Anolis sagrei: one gene and its partner. The protein of the gene in region 1 interacts with the protein of each later gene in a pairwise test. Links are inferred from orthologs where the notes say so. Each region holds a gene or a part of one and is shown in the gene's direction. Other genes may lie near its edges.

Region 1 (7,653 bases):
TAAGTGGGTTTAAAAATTGTGGGACCTTAAGGAGAGTCCAGACACAGAATTGTTAGTCCCGATAAATGGTCCCCTGCCATCCTGACAGGTTCAGTTGTAGATGATTTTAGAAATCCATAAGATAGACATGGGACATCCATTGGAGGTTTACTATTTTTAAAAATGATGCTCTGAGATGCGCTGGACCTCGTAAGTGCTGATGTGAATATATGAATGTGCGAACAAGCAGATGTCATGTCATTGTCTCTCCTCACCTTCCAGCTGCCTTTACTTTTTCACTCTTGAACTCTGCTTCCCTTTGAGGTCACTGGTGCCCACTATGCTGGTGCCCACTGTGTAAACCACATACTGTGTAAACCACCAGCATGTGCCCACCACATGCTGGTGCCCACTTTATAAATTCAAACTCTGTTTAATTTCATAAATATGAGAACAAGGGAAAGGTTGCAGAGAGTTCTTATGAGAATTGCTTTCCAATTGTGCTTCCATTCAGCCACCTGTGTGTCTGTGGCTCCATCTGTTTATGGTCCTCATCAACTGTTTGGGGATTTAAAAATATGCACATGTGCTGGAGCAGTCCACACCAGCATATAGCAACAAAGTCATGTATTTTTCTTAACTGCAGGGATATACAGTGATGCAAATATGCACATTCTTCGGCCAAAGTTGGATGTTAAGTACACCTTTTAAAAATGTTTTTAAGCTGTTAGTGTGATCTAGTGTGAATTTTTGGCAAATGTCATCTAGCCTCCCCCCCCCCCCCCCCTTTATCCCAGTGTTGTCTGCATTTTTGGGCCCAGAGAGATGCATGGCTGCTGCTAGCAACATTTGGAAACATTAGGGTTTTTGCATAATACTACAACTCAGTTGCTGTGCACAGCTAGTTGCCCTATTCTAGGGAAGGTGAACAAAACTGTTGTCATGTACCTTCTGAGAAGAACAGATGGCCCTTCTCACCTAGCGGTAGCTATTTCCATGTTACTTCCTTGGAAAAGGAAGCAGGGCTGCTGAGAAGGGGCAACAGGCCAGATGCTTGGTTGCCCAGCTCCTCTAATTTTAGCAGGGCTTTATACCCACTTTGTGTTGAAATATCAAAACATTATTTTATGTTGTATTGTTTGCTTTCTCACCATCTGACCCTGACTTGGTGGATTCTGGGGCTTGTATTCCAAAAAAGTGGGGTTGTTCAAGTTTTTCTGGCTTGTACATTAATAGTGATTATGTCTGCTAGGGTTTTTTTCCGTATATTCTTATTTGATACTAGCCATCCCCTGCCACGTGTTGCTGTGGCCCAGTCTGTGAATATGTGTTTTGAGTGTATATATTTGTGTATTTGTGTATATATGTGGTTATGCACATGCATTGTATTTTTTTTATTTTCTTGTTTTTAAGTCCCTTCCGCTATGTTTTTCAGTGTTTTATGAGTGATGGTCACTCGTTGGCCTGATTGCGTCCAAATTTGGTGTCAATTTGTCCAGTGGTTTTTGAGTTATGTTAATCCCACAAATGAACATTAATTTGTGGGATTAACATAACTCAAAAACCACTTTTATTTATATAGATTAGGTTTATAGTTAGGCTGTATTATATTGTTTGATGTATTTTGTTTTTGATGTAATTTGTTGATATGCTTCTTTGTTAGCACTGAATGCTTGCCATATGTTTTGAAAACTGCCAAGTCCTCGGGGAGATAGGGCAGTCTATAAATAAAGTTTATTATTATTATTATTATTATTATTATTATTATTATACTAAAATAATTAATTTGGGGTGATGTGGATGAGAAACCACTCTTGATCTGAAATTGAAATCCTAGCAAACCCCTCCCCCCCGCCTCACCTTTGCACGTATATATATAAATGCCCCCAGTGGCACAGCGGGTTAAACCACTGAGCTGCTGAACTTGCTGACCGAATCTGTGAAGTGGGATGAGCTCCCGGTGTTAGCTCCAGCTTCTGCCAACCTAGCAGTTTGAAAACATGCAAATGTGATTAGATCAATAGATACCACTTCTGCAGGAAGGTAATGACCTCACTACTTCTGAGGATGCTTGCCATAGATGCAGGTGAAACGTCAGGAGAGAATGCCTCTAGAACATGGCCATATAGCCCAAAAAAACCTACAACAACCCAAGGTAATGACACTTCATGCAGTCATGCTGGCCACATGACCTTGGAGGTAGCTATGGGCAGAGGCGGCCCTAGGTAATTTTCAACGGTAAGCAAACAGTATCCCCCCCCCCCCCCCAACCAATCACTGATATATATTTTCTGTTCATCGTGGGGTTTCTGTGTGCCATATTTGGTTCAATTCCATCATTGGTGGAGTTCAGAATGCTCTTTGATTGTAGGTGAACTATACACCCTAGTAACTACAACTCGCATATGTCAAGGTCTATTTTCCCCCAAGAGCGCCTCAAGAGCACCCCTAGGCAAAATCAACTATACTGCGAATGCTTACTTTGCGTAATGGTTGAGCTGCCCCTGGCTATGGGCAACGCCAGCTCTTCAGCTTAGAAATGGAGATGAGCACCACCACCCCAGAGTCGGACATGACTAGACTTAATGTCAAGGGGAAACCTTCACCCTTACTATATAAATGTAGTCTTCTCTGCCAAGAGCGCTGGTGCACAATTCCCAGGATGCCATAGCATCTACACTGTAGAATTAATGCAGTTTGGCACTACTGTAACTGCTATGGCTCAACGCAGTTAAGTCCTGGGATCTGCAGCTTGACGAGGCACTGGCACTCTTTGGCAGAGAAGAAGAATGACCTTGTAAAACTTCAACTCCCAGGATACCATAGAATTGAACCATGGCGTCAAAACATTAATTCTACAGTACAGATGAGCCCAGAATTGACAGAGTAGCATGTATTATTTGATATCCAGCTTCTTTGTTGGTCCTAGTAAACATACCAGTTAAACTTGTCCAGTTATGCCATAGGCTATAACTATACCAGTGATGTGATAAGGAGAGTGGAATAGTGGAAACATTGAAGTGCTTTCCAAAACCCACAGTATGTTATCCGAGTATCTTTGAGGCTTCTCCATGACTAAAACTTTCCCATAACTTTTATTTTTGAAGTACAGGACACTCAAAGTTCAATAACTCTTTCTTGTAATAGCATAATCACTGAGATTTATATCATGCAGACGGATGTTTGCCATGAATTCAAAAAGTACAAATTAGTTTATTGGGTTCGTCTTGTATTGTGCCTTCATGCGATATGTCATCCAAAGAGCACATGTGGTCTAATTAACTAATTAAGAATACAGTTCTTAATTAAAACTAGCTTTTTACATATTATTTTTGTATATATACAACTGATTAATTTGCGTGTCAACACGCCTCAAATATGTGTCCTAGAAATCATGTACATACAAAAGCCTTTGATTTCCACAGACTCAATCTCATGAACGACTATGTTAATTAATTATTTAAAATTAATTAACTATAATGACATTATAGAATTCCAGATAATTCCAGACAAGAAACTATCAGGGCCAGCTAATCACCTCCCAACAAAGGATCCCCCCAAGTAGTAAGAAACCAGACCTTGAAACTGCTAGGCCATTAAATGCTAATCGAAGTGGCCAATTGCAGCATTCAAGCAAAGAGTTCTTTCTCCCACCCTGGACATTATTCCACAGATATATAAACCCTGTTTTCCTAGTTTCCAACAGACCTCGCAACCTCTGAGGATGCCTGCCATAGATGTGGGTGAAATATCAGGAGAGAATGCTTCTGGAACATGGCCATACAGCCCGGAAAACTCATGACCTCCCCTATAATTACATAACTATTCCTACACCACATTAACTACTAGTGGGACTTGTAGTTTGTTAAAATAGTGGGACTTGTAGTTTGGAATAGTGGGACTTGTAGTTTGTTAAAAACCAACACTCTTTGATGGAAAAAGCTAAAGACCTTGGCAAGGGGGCATCTACACTGTAGAATTACTTAATGCAGTTGGGCCACTGGGCTCAAGGCTATGCAATGGTGGGAGATGTAGTTTTCCAAGGCCTTTCTCCCTTCTCTGCCAAAGAGTGCAAACTACAATTACTTAATGCAGTTTGGGCACATGGACTCAAGGCTATGCAATGGTGGGAGACGTAGTTTTCCAAGGTTTTTCTCCCTTCTCTGCCAAAGAGTGTAAACTACAATTACTTAATGCAGTTTGGGCCACTGGGCTCAAGGCTATGCAATGGTGGGAGATGTAGTTTTCCAAGGTCTTTCTCCCTTCTCTGCCAAAGAGTGTAAACTACAATTACTTAATGCAGTTTGGGCCACTGGGCTCAAGGCTATGCAATGGCGGGAGATGTAGTTTTCCAAGGTCGTCCTCCCTTCTCTGCCAAAGAGTGCTGGAGCCCCACCAAACTATAAACCCCCATGACTGCATAGCATTGAAACTATATCAGTTTAAAGCGGTGTCAAATTGCATTAATTCTACAGCGTGGATGCATCCTTACTCCTAGGGAAATCTGCAACCTGATTCAAGAGAGGAGGGGAAGTCCCAGGAAGCCTTAGATCTTATCGCCGCCTCCTTTCATTGGCCATGAAAGGAGCCCGTGCTTCTTTAAAGAGGCCGCTGTTTTCGGTCAAAGAGATCAACAGGTTTCCCCCTCCCCCTGTCCTAATGCCGCTGCTGGCCCTTTAAATCGCACACAAGGGCAGCCCGGCAGCCCTCCGGTGTGCTGGGTTTGGAGACCAGCCTTGGCCTCGCTGCACCTCCCTCTCTCCCTCTATGGTAAGCGGCGTGGGCTTTCTCCCTTTCACCCCCCCCTCCCTTTCCTTTGGGGTATTTTTCCCCTTCTCTCTTTGGAGGTATTTATTATTTTGCTTTTCCAAGGTGTGACTTACAGGGGAAGTCCCTGGCTTGGGATCTTCAGTGGAATTGAAATTGTGAGCTTAGGTTGGACTTGATGGACAAGGTGCCACTTTCCACGCTGTTTTGGGGAGTGCGTCTCCACTGTAGAGTTAATGCAGTTCGACACCACTTTAGCTGCCAGGGCTCAATGGTATGGAATCATGGGAACTGTAGTTTTGCAATGTCTGTAGCCTTCCCTGCCAAAGAGTGGTATCAAACTTCAGCTCCCATGATTCCATAGCATTTAAAGTGGTATCAAACTGGATTTAATTCTGCAGTGTAGATGCACCCCTTATCCTCTAGGGGTGATAGACTTCCCAAGTGTTCTTCCAGTTTAGGGGGGAAAAAACCCCTTTTATCTCAATTCCTTATTAAAATAGTTCACTGTTTTTATAATAACATAAAAGGGGGTTGTGTAAATTAATATTAATATTTTAGTATTGATATTTCATAGGCCACACAGAGTGCCAACGTGGTTCAAGAAGCTGGCAGATGGGGCAGAAGCACAATAAGGCTTGGAGACATTGGCATCTTTCAATGTTAAATCCTTTATTCGTCAACCGATTTCAAAGGCGAATTGCCCTAACTGTAGACTTTGGGGAACCCCTGGTGGTGCAGTGGGTTAAACCGCTGAGCTGCTGAACTTTATGACCGAAAGGTCGCAGATTCAGATCCAAGGAGCGGGGTGTGCTCCCGCTGTTAGCCCCAGCTTCTGCCAACCTAGCAGTTCGAAAACATACAAATGTGAGTAGATCAATAGGTCCCTCTCCGGTGGGAAGGTGCTTCATGCAGTCATGCCGGTCATATGACCTTGGCGGTGTCTACGGACAACGCCAGCTCTTTGGCTTAGAAATGGAGATGAGCATCAATCCTGCAGAGTCGGACATGACTAGACTAAATGTCAAGGGAAAACCTTTACTTTTAGACTTTGATGAGACCTTTCCCTTACTTACATAGGCGATTCCTCATTGTCCGAGTAGGATTGTCTTCCAAGATCGGTGTCCTGGCGGTGGGTCCATAGGTGACTGTGGAGCCCTATTCTTGATCTGCATCTTCTCCCGCAGTGAGGGCATTGGTTTCCAGGTGGAAGGTGGTCCTGGTCAGGGTTGGCTTGACATGCCTTTCCCTTGGCACGTTTCTCTCTTTTGCCCTCCGTTCGTGCCTCTTCAAATTCTACAGCACTGCTGGTCACAGCTGACCTCCAGCTGGAGCACTCAGGGGCCAGGGCTTCCCAGTTCTCTTACACACTTACACCAATTTCATTTTTTGAAAGGATAGGTACAGAAGGGGAATTCCAGGAAGCCTGGAATGGAGAACTGAGGGCCTAGAAAACACTCTCAACTTCTCCACTAAGTCAATCCTTTGTTTACGGCAATGGTTCCTAACCTTTTTTTTGACCAGGAACCACCTTGACCAGGGACTACTCCAACATTAGTATGAAAAGGGCTATGAATCAGTTTTTGGTCAACTTTAGATTCGGTTTGGTTATTTGGGGTGCTGATTCAGATAATTGCATTGGATAGACCATATCAGCTCTAGTTTCTGATACAGAACATATGCCATCCAGTTGTCACCATCTGCTAGCCCACAGAAAACCATTTTTAATAATCTAGAGCTGATGTGGTAGTAGTAATTTTTCGTGGGTAGTCAGCCTCTCCCCTCCCAATATCCCTCTTGCCTCGGCACGATATAAATAGCAGGGGAGGTATTTTACGAAACCATAATAGAAAAAGACCAGAAAATACTGGTGACCAAAAGAAAGGAGGAAGTCGTGATGGCTCTTCGTCATAGAGGATGGAGCAACAGCACCCCCCTGTGGCTAGATTTGAGCACATCCTCCAAAGGCATCGAAAGCTGGATGTCAACACAACATACCTCCTTTTTGTCTGTTCTGTCCTTTTCTATCCGAACAACATTGAATGTTTACTGCGTATTTGTACTGTGATCTGCCCTGAGTCCCCTTAGGGAGATAGGGCGGAATATAAATAAAGTGTTATTTATATATCTGTTCATGTAGAGTGCATTGAGATCTCTCTCTGCTTGTGTGTACCAGGAGAGATGTAGTGCTCGGTGGTTTTCCCCTCTCTGAACCCTAGAAGAGATGGAGTATAGAATAGCTCAGACCCAGTTCTTTACTATGAAGAAATGTTACTATTTTTTAAAGTAAATAAACCTTTTGTACTGTTTAAGATTAAACTCTGCATTTTTGCCTCCTAAATTCGTTACAGCCACAGCACTTCATGTTCTGCTTGCTGTGAGCTGAATGCTCAACCGTAGGGTATCCCGTTTTGTATTTTGGGATGCTCTGCTGTCTTTGGGTAGTTTCCCCTCACAGATTTTTCATGGATTTCATTAAAATTTTCATTCTAGATTGTACAGTGTGACTCTAGGATCAGTTTTCTCCATTAATACTGGAGGACCTAGCGATTTCTAAGGAGAACATTTCTGTAGGAATCTCTAGATCCTCCAGTGCGATTCTATAGTCCAACAATAGTTGACAATAGAGCCACGCTGGAAGAGCTAGAAGTGCTTAGAGAAGTGTTTTTTCAGGTATAAGAATGGCAATTTCTTTAGTCGCTTTTGTGAGGGTCCTGCACTCCTAGACACAATGCATATGGAAGGCTGGCTCTAGATCAGGCATGGGCAAACTTCGGCCCTCCAGATGTTTTGTACTTCAACTCCCACAATTCCTAACAGCCAGTTACAGGCTGTTATGAATTGTGGGAATTGAAGTCCAAAACATCTGGAGGGCCGAAGTTTGCCCATGCCTGCTATAGATTCTGT
Region 2 (7,945 bases), on another chromosome or scaffold:
GGAGATAATATGTTACTGGAAGCCAGAGGATTAAGTGCTAAAATGCAGCAAGTGCATTCTTCTTTCTCTCTCCCTCTCTGCATTATTGTACCCACAATTATATTGTGTTGTGAAAGGCTTTCATGGACAGAATCACTGGGTTGCTGTGGATTTTTTGGCCTGTATGGCCATGTTCCAGTAGCATTCTCTGTCTCCGTTATTACCCTTTAATCCACAATGGTCAGTAGTATATACAGGGGATCAGATGTGCAGCCTCATCACACTAGAGTATGGATCCACTTTAAATCCAGTTTCTGCCTCCTTAAGAATTCTGGGTTTGTAGTTTATTTATTTATTTATTTATTTATTTAGGACATTTGGATCCTGTCCTATCTTGACCTCCGCAGAGGAACTCAGGGTGGCTAACAACCGGCACACCATGGTGCCCACAACCAAAAGCATAGATATACAATTTAAATAAAAACAATATAAAAACAGCATAAAAACATTCAAATAGTCGCCAATTTAAGTCATTGTCCTAAAAGCAGTCCATCAAGTCCATTAAAGCTGTCATTCTGCCAGCAGGTCAGCCTAGTCTGCAAAGGCCTGATCCCATAGCCAGGATTTCACTTGTTTCCGAAAGGTCAGGAGGAATGGAGCAGATCTAATTTTATTTGGGAGGGAGTTCCACAGCCGAGGGGCCACCACAGAAAAGACGCTGTCCTTTGTCCCCACCAAATGTGATTGCAATGATGGGGGGACAACGAGCAGGGCCTCCCTGGATGATCTTAGGGTCCTAGGTGGATTGTAGCGGGATATACATTCGGACAATGTATAAATATGTGAGGGGAAGTCATAGGGAAGAGGGAGCAAGCTTGTTTTTTGCTGCCCTGGAGACTAGGACATGGACAATGGCTTCAAACTACAGGAAAGGAGATTCCACCTGAACATTAGGAAGAACTTCTTAACTGCGAGAGCTGTTCTGCTCCGGAGAGCTCTCTGCCCCGGTGTGTGGTGGAGGCTTCTTCTTTGGAGGCCATCTGTCAGGGGTGCCTTGAAGGCGATTTTCCCTCGTCTTGGCAGGGGGTTGGACAACTGGATGGCCCACAAGGTCTCTATGATTCTATGAGACCCAGGATCTCTTTGGCTGAGCAATTTAAAGGCCCTAAACTATAAGCCCCAGAATTCTGCAGGAGGCAGAAACTGGATTTAAAGTGGATTCATGCTCTAGTGTGACGAGGTCTGATTATAGCCAATAGACAATGATAGCCAATAGACAATTATAGCCAATAGAGAGATTGCCTTTTTATAGCAGCTGCACATGATGCTATCATTGAGCTATCTACTAAGATCGCTTTCTTGGTCACTCATTGATCAGCAGGAATCTTGACAATGTAAATGCAAATTAGGGATCATTTACCCCAAAGTGTTAGATGAAGCCATTTGCTTTAGCAGATGAACTCAAGTTGCACATTTAAAGAATGTTCCTCAATACAACTATTAAAAACATATCACGTATTTCAGTTACGATCCCTTCTACTAAAAATATTACTATCTACAAACTATTAATGTTTATTGTGAAGTTCAGTGGTGAATGTAGCATAGCAATAGCAGCAGCAATCCACTTTTACAAGTGTATTTAGAGGACAGCAGAACGTAATAGCAAAGGATTTGTTGTTGTTCATTCGTTCAGTCATCTCTGACTCTTCGTGACCTCATGGACCAGCCCACGCCAGAGCTCCCTGTCGGCCGTCACCACCCCCAGCTCCTTCAAAGCAAAGCAAAGGATACTGGACTTATTAAAAAAAATAGAAATACAAAGTATTTTGGAGACTATAACTTTTTGAGTGCTTATTTCAAGCCCAAGGCGTGTATGAAAAAAACAATTTTAATTTTAATTTGGAAATCTCACTGTAAATTATGCTGCAGTTCAGCAAACAGCTCTTGCCTTCACTCAGTAATCACCATAATTTTGTAAAGAATCAGAGCAAAGGCTGATCTAGTCTAACATTGTTTGTACAGCGGCTAATTAGATGCCAACGGAAAGCCATATCAGGAAATGAATGCATTAGTATTCCCTGCTTATGTCCCCTAGCAACAGGTACACAGAGGCATACTGATTTGGAGACTGTAATATATAGCCACCATGCCTAGTAGCCATTTTTAGCCCTTTGCTCCATAAATTACTTTAAACTTTTTAAATACTCATCCAAGATGGTAGCAAATGTTCTAGTTTTACTATGCACTATGTAAAGAAATACAATACAATCCCCTTATCCATGGGGTGGATATCCAGTTTCACTTCTCCCTGCTCCAAAACATATTCTACCTGGGAGTGTTGGCGGACCTCTCTCTCCAACGTGATTCTATGATATGCTTCCTGCTGAAATATAGTCAAAATGTAGGGTTTGCTATTAGCCACAGTTTAAGACATCCATAGGAGTCTTGGAACATATCCCCTGAGGATAAGGAGGTCATACGGTACTACTTTTTATCCATTCTTAATCTACAATTACATTTGGTTTCATTAGATTACCCTAGGTTCTAGTACTGCGAGAAATATCTGACTCATTTCTCTATTTTTTTGTGGGCACATTATGTCCGATTTATAGGGGCCTGAAGGGAGGATTTTCTTGGCAAGATTTGTTCAGAGGAGGTCTGCCTTTGCTATTCTCTGAGGCCTCTTTTACACTGCCATATAAAATCCAGAATATCTGCTTTGAACTGGATTATATGGCAGTGTAGACTCATATAATCCAGTTCAAAGCAGATAATGTGGATTATCTGATTTGATAGAAGCTTCAGTGCTGCAATGGGTTAAACCCTTGTGCTGGTTGAACTGCTGACCTGAAGGTCGGTGGTTTGAATGTGCGAGGTGGGGTGAACTCCCATCTGTCAGCTCCAGCTTCCCATGTGGGGACATGAGAGAAGCCTCCCACAGGATGGTAACACATCCAGGCGTCCCCTGGCCAAATACACAGTATTTCAAATTTAAAAGTCTCACCATAGATTTCTGTAGGGAAATATATTGGTAGTTTTATTTCCAACTCCTTTTCTAGATTTCACTCTCAGGCCCTTTCCACACAGCTGCATATATCCCAGTTCAAAGCAGAAAATGTGGGATTTTATTCAGCTGTGTGGAAGGGGCCTTGAAATGAACCTCATAAGACATTTTAATACACATCCCTGCAGTATAAACAGCCTTTTCGCTCTTTGCAACCTTTTTTGTTCTAAGTACCTAAATAATTTGGCATCCCCAGAAAATCCTGACTATATTCTTGCTCCTCCCAAGTTTTTTAGGAAGTTAAAAAGTCCCAGAGACCATGATTATATCCCTCCATTATGAGCACCCACTATTATGGCAACCCCACGAATCTCATGTTTGTTTTTTTCAGGCAGGGGATACTTGGGGTGGTTTTGCCAGCACCTTCCTCTGAAATAGAGCCTATAGACAGGCATGGGCAAACTTGGGCCCTCCAGGTGTTTTGTACTTCAACTCCCACAATTCCTGGCCTCAGACCCCTTCCTTTTCCCCCTCAGTTGAGGCCAGGAATTGTGGGAGCTGAAGTCCAAAACACCTGGAGGGCCCAAGTTTGCCCATGCTTGGTATAGCACCTATATTTGTTGGCAATATCCCATCCAAATACTCACTAGCGCTCACCCTCTTTAGCTTCTGAGATCAGATGGTGACTGGTGCCTTTTGGGGTGTTGAGGCAGGTCACTTCTTCTCTCTACCAAACTCTGGTCCTCCAGATGTTTTCAACTTCATCTCCTAGAACTTTAACAGATTGCTAAAGGCAGCTGAAGCTTCTGCGAGTTGGCAGTGCTAAACATTGGGTATTTAGCTGGTTCTCCTTACGCTTCCTAGAACCTGTCTCCTCTCCATCCCTTTCCTCCTGCTCTCTGCCAAACTGTGGTCCTCCAGGTGTTTGGGACTTCATCTCTGAGAATCCCTGATAGTTAGTCAAGGCAGCTGAGGCTTCTGGGAGATGAAGTCCCAAACACCAGGAGGAGGAGGAGGAGGAGGAGGCGAGTTTGGGAGCCCCTACTTTGGGATATTTACCTGGTTCACCTTACTCTTCCTAGAACTCGGCTCCTCCCTATCCCTTTCCTCCTGATCTCTGCCAAACTGTGGGACTTCATCTCCCAGAATCCCTGATAGTCAAGGCAGCAGAGGTTTCTGGGAGATGAAGTCCCAAATACTAGGAGGAGGAAGAGGAGGAGGAGTGTTTGGGAAGCCCTGCTTTGAGGTATTTAGCTGGTTCACCTTACCCTTCCTAGAACCCGGCTCCTCTCCATCCCTTTCCTCCTGATCTCTGCCAGACTGTGGTCCTCCAGGTGTTTGGGACTTCATCTCCCAGAATCCCTGACAGTTAATTAAGGCAGCTGAGGCTTCTGGGAAATGAAGTCCCAAAAACCAGGAGGCGAGTTTGGGAACCCCTGTTTTGGGGTGTTTAGCTGGTTCATCTTTCTTACCCTTCCTAGAACCCAGCTCCTCTCCATCCCTTTCCTCCAGGTGTTTTGTACTTCAACCCAGAATCCCCGATAGTCAAGGCAGCTGAGGTTTCTGAGAAATGAAGTCCCAAACACCTGGAGGAAGAGGGGGAGAGGAGAGTTTGAGACCCCTGCTTTGGGATGCTTAGGCGGGCCACCAGGGCCCTCTTCTCCCAGAGCCAGACTCATCTGCCATCCTCTCCTCCTCTTCCTTTCCCCACTTTCCCCAAACTCTAGTCCTCCTGTGGACGACCTCTCCCAGCATCCTTGATGATTGTGCAAGGCTGCCGAGACCTCGGGGGGGGGGGGGGGGGCGAGCGTGGGTGAAGCCCTGCTTGGGGGCCTTGGGGCGGACCTCGCAGGGCCCAAAGGCGCCCTCCCCTCTCCTTCCCGGGCTCCGTGGGCGGGGCCAGGAGGGCTCCCTCCCGCTGGGCGTCCCCACCGGCGGCGAAGAGAGGCCCGAGCTGGCTCCATCCGCCAAGAGGGCTGGCTGGCTGGCCTTGGGAGGAAGAGGAGCAGGAAGGAAGGCAGGCAGCGGGGGAGCGGCTTTGCCTTTGCGCTGCGCCAGGACTCGCCGGGAGACAAGGTGCGCCGAGGGGGAGCCCTGCAGGAAGGGAGGTGGGGGGCGCAGGGGAGAGCGGGGCCCTTCTTTCCATGGTGGGGATCCAGCCTGGCTTCTTGACCCATTTCAAGAGGCCGGGAAGGACCCGCGACTCGCCCGGCAAACTTCCAGAAAGTGGGTCCCCCCCCCCCCCCCCCCGCCTTGCCTCCCTTTGTCTCTCCGGATGTCTTTGTGAGGCAAGGAAGTGGCCTGCTCAGCCCACGGGTTGAGTCAGATTGCAAAGCAGCCAAAGGTTAACCTGGTTCACATTTCTCTTAAAATCTCCCTGGGAGGGAATCTCTAACTCATGATTTCGGGATCCAGGTGTGGTCTTCTGCCCCTGCGGCGGGTTTTTCCTCCTCTTCCCTTCTTGTAAATCTCAGGCGGTCTACGTTGGGTGGGCTGCCTTGCTTTGTTTTGGGAATGGGAAAGATCACCCAGCCCAACAACAAAACATTCCTGGTTTCTAAGGGGAGGGGGAAAAGGAAGGGGCCTGAGGCCAGGAATTGGGGGAGTTGAAGTTCAAAACACCCGGAGGGCCCAAGTTTGCCCATGCCTGTCTATAGGCTGTATTTCAGAGGAAGGTGCTGGCAAAACCACCCCAAGTATCCCCTGCCTGGAAAAAAATGAAATTCATGGGGTTGCCATATTTAGGGTGCCCACTGGATAGACCGCATCACCTTTAGTGTCTTAGGCAGGCACGGGCAAACTTGGGCCCTCCAGGTGTTTTGGACTTCAACTCCCACAATTCCTAACAGCCTACCGTTGAAGTCCAAAACATCTGGAGGGCCCAAGTTTGCCCGTGCCTGCTCTTAGATATCGTTGTCAAGATTTCTTATGGGCAGGCAGATGGCGACTGGTAAATAGTACATATTCCCCAAATAAATAGTTCCCCAAATAATTCGCCCCCCCCCAATTTGATCCATAATCAGATCCCTTTTAGAGACATAGTGCTCCCCTTACATTGCCACCAAGTTTCTAATCTTGTCATCTGCCCTCAGCACTTGATCCATCAGCCCCAACCCCTTTGCAAGGGATTTGCACCAGCCGCCGCCTGAGCTCAGAACTGTGCACTACTCAGACCACCTGATCTTATTTTTCTGGTTATTTAATATTTAATGTTTATTTTACTTAAGTGGTATTTGTCTTTACTGTTCTAATGTAGCACAAATCCGATGTAAAATCATACTACGTATTTTTGACATTAATATTGAAATCTGAAATATATACAGAAACTCCTTGCTAGATAGATGTTTGCTATGTATTGTATCACACGTGGTTGTTTCTATACTGTTGAGATGCTTTTGTGAATTTTGTTGTTATATTTTAACTACTAGCTGTACCCACCATGCATTGCTGTGGCCAATCTTCCTCTTTCTTTCCTTTCTTTCTCTCATTCCTTCCCTCTCTCTTTCCTTCTTTCCCTTTTTTCTTTCCTTCTTTCCTTCCTTCTCTTGATCTTCCCTTCCTCCCCCCTTTCTATTCCTTACTCTTTCTCTCATTTCTTCCTTCTCTACCTATTCTTGGACTGCAGCTCCCACCAGTCCTTTTGATCAATCTACCTACCTACCTATCTCCATCTAATCTATCTATCTATCTGGAGGATTGCTGGGAGTTGCACTCCAGGAATAGGAAATTGTAAATATGCAGGAATTGGGATGCTCTCAAAGAAATCTAGGGAGAAGAAAGCTTTGTATCTTAGAAGCAGTGCATTTGGATCATCCTCCTCTCCTAAAGGGCCTGGTCTAGGGAATGCTGGGAGCTGTCATCCGGAAGAGAGTGTGGATATGCTATTGTGTGTTTTGTTTAGTGGGGGGGGGGGGGTGTGGGAGGGAGTTTTTATGAGTGATGGTCACTCGTTGGCCTGATAGGCATATTGTGTCCAAATTTGGTGTCAATTTGCCCAGCGGTTTTTGAGTTATGTTCATCCCACAAACAAACATTACATTTTTATTTATATAAATGTGGAATCTCGAGCATGTAAGCCACCCCAAGTCCCTTCAGGGAGATGGAGGCAGGGTACAAAAATAAAGTTGTTGTTGGTGGTGTTATTATTCTGTATTTCAAAAACTAGATCCAATGAGAAAAAAATTGTGCCATCTTTGGAATCAGTAGGTCAAATCTACAGAGAAACAGGGCTAACATTTGAGGCACCAAAATATGTGTGGCCAGTGTAATCTTTCTCTGCCCACACCTAGCCAAGCTTGTGGTTCTCAACCTGGGGTCCCCAGATGTTTTTGGCCTTCAACTCCCAGAAATCCTAACAGCCGGTAAACTGGCTGGGATTTCTGAGAGCTGAAGGCCAAAAACATCTGGGGACCCCAGGTTAAGAACCACAGACAGTCCCCCAGTTACAAAGTTTTACAAAGTCCCCAAGTGTTTCCACTTTCATAGGTGTCCTGAACCCTTAACCTCACCAAATGAGGAAGGAAGGATGGCTGTACAGGAAGTCCCCAAGTTACAAGCAACATAGGTTCTGTAGGTTTGATCATCAGTTGAATTTGTATGTAAGCCGGAACAGGTAAATTTTAAAGTATAACTCCTGCCTACACACACACACATGCATTCACACACATATGCATATACATACAACTTTGGCTAGCATAGGGAAGGGTTAACAGCCCTGTGGTGTTTGTTTTGCTGTATGTTCCCCTGTTGAGAAGATGTCACCTCACTTTCTGTCCCTGTAGTAATTTGATTTTGAAAAATGTGGCTTAGTAACAAGGATTGGTAAGAAAACTTCAGTTGAGACACCTTTTCCCCATGATAACTTTTTCAGGGGTGAACTTCCCTTCCAAGGGGTAGATTTTTCTCACTTCCTGTTGTCTTATCCCCGTTCATAAATATGCGTCATTTGTAAGTTGGATGTTT

What was found.
Region 2: the proteins of GRAMD1C (region 1) and CD151 interact in binary tests that used the Homo sapiens proteins (3 or more experiments, as listed by UniProt). The link is inferred for Anolis sagrei from reciprocal best matches to the Homo sapiens genes GRAMD1C and CD151.

What each region holds. Positions count from the first base shown.
Region 1 is NC_090023.1:40,433,672-40,441,324, reverse strand, and holds the start of GRAMD1C (protein Aster-C), read left to right. Parts: upstream 1-4,646; 5' UTR 4,647-4,746; coding exon 4,747-4,749; intron 4,750-7,653. UniProt on the Homo sapiens protein: Cholesterol transporter that mediates non-vesicular transport of cholesterol from the plasma membrane (PM) to the endoplasmic reticulum (ER).
Region 2 is NC_090021.1:241,271,492-241,279,436, forward strand, and holds the start of CD151 (CD151 antigen), read left to right. Parts: upstream 1-4,878; 5' UTR 4,879-5,059; intron 5,060-7,945. UniProt on the Homo sapiens protein: Structural component of specialized membrane microdomains known as tetraspanin-enriched microdomains (TERMs), which act as platforms for receptor clustering and signaling.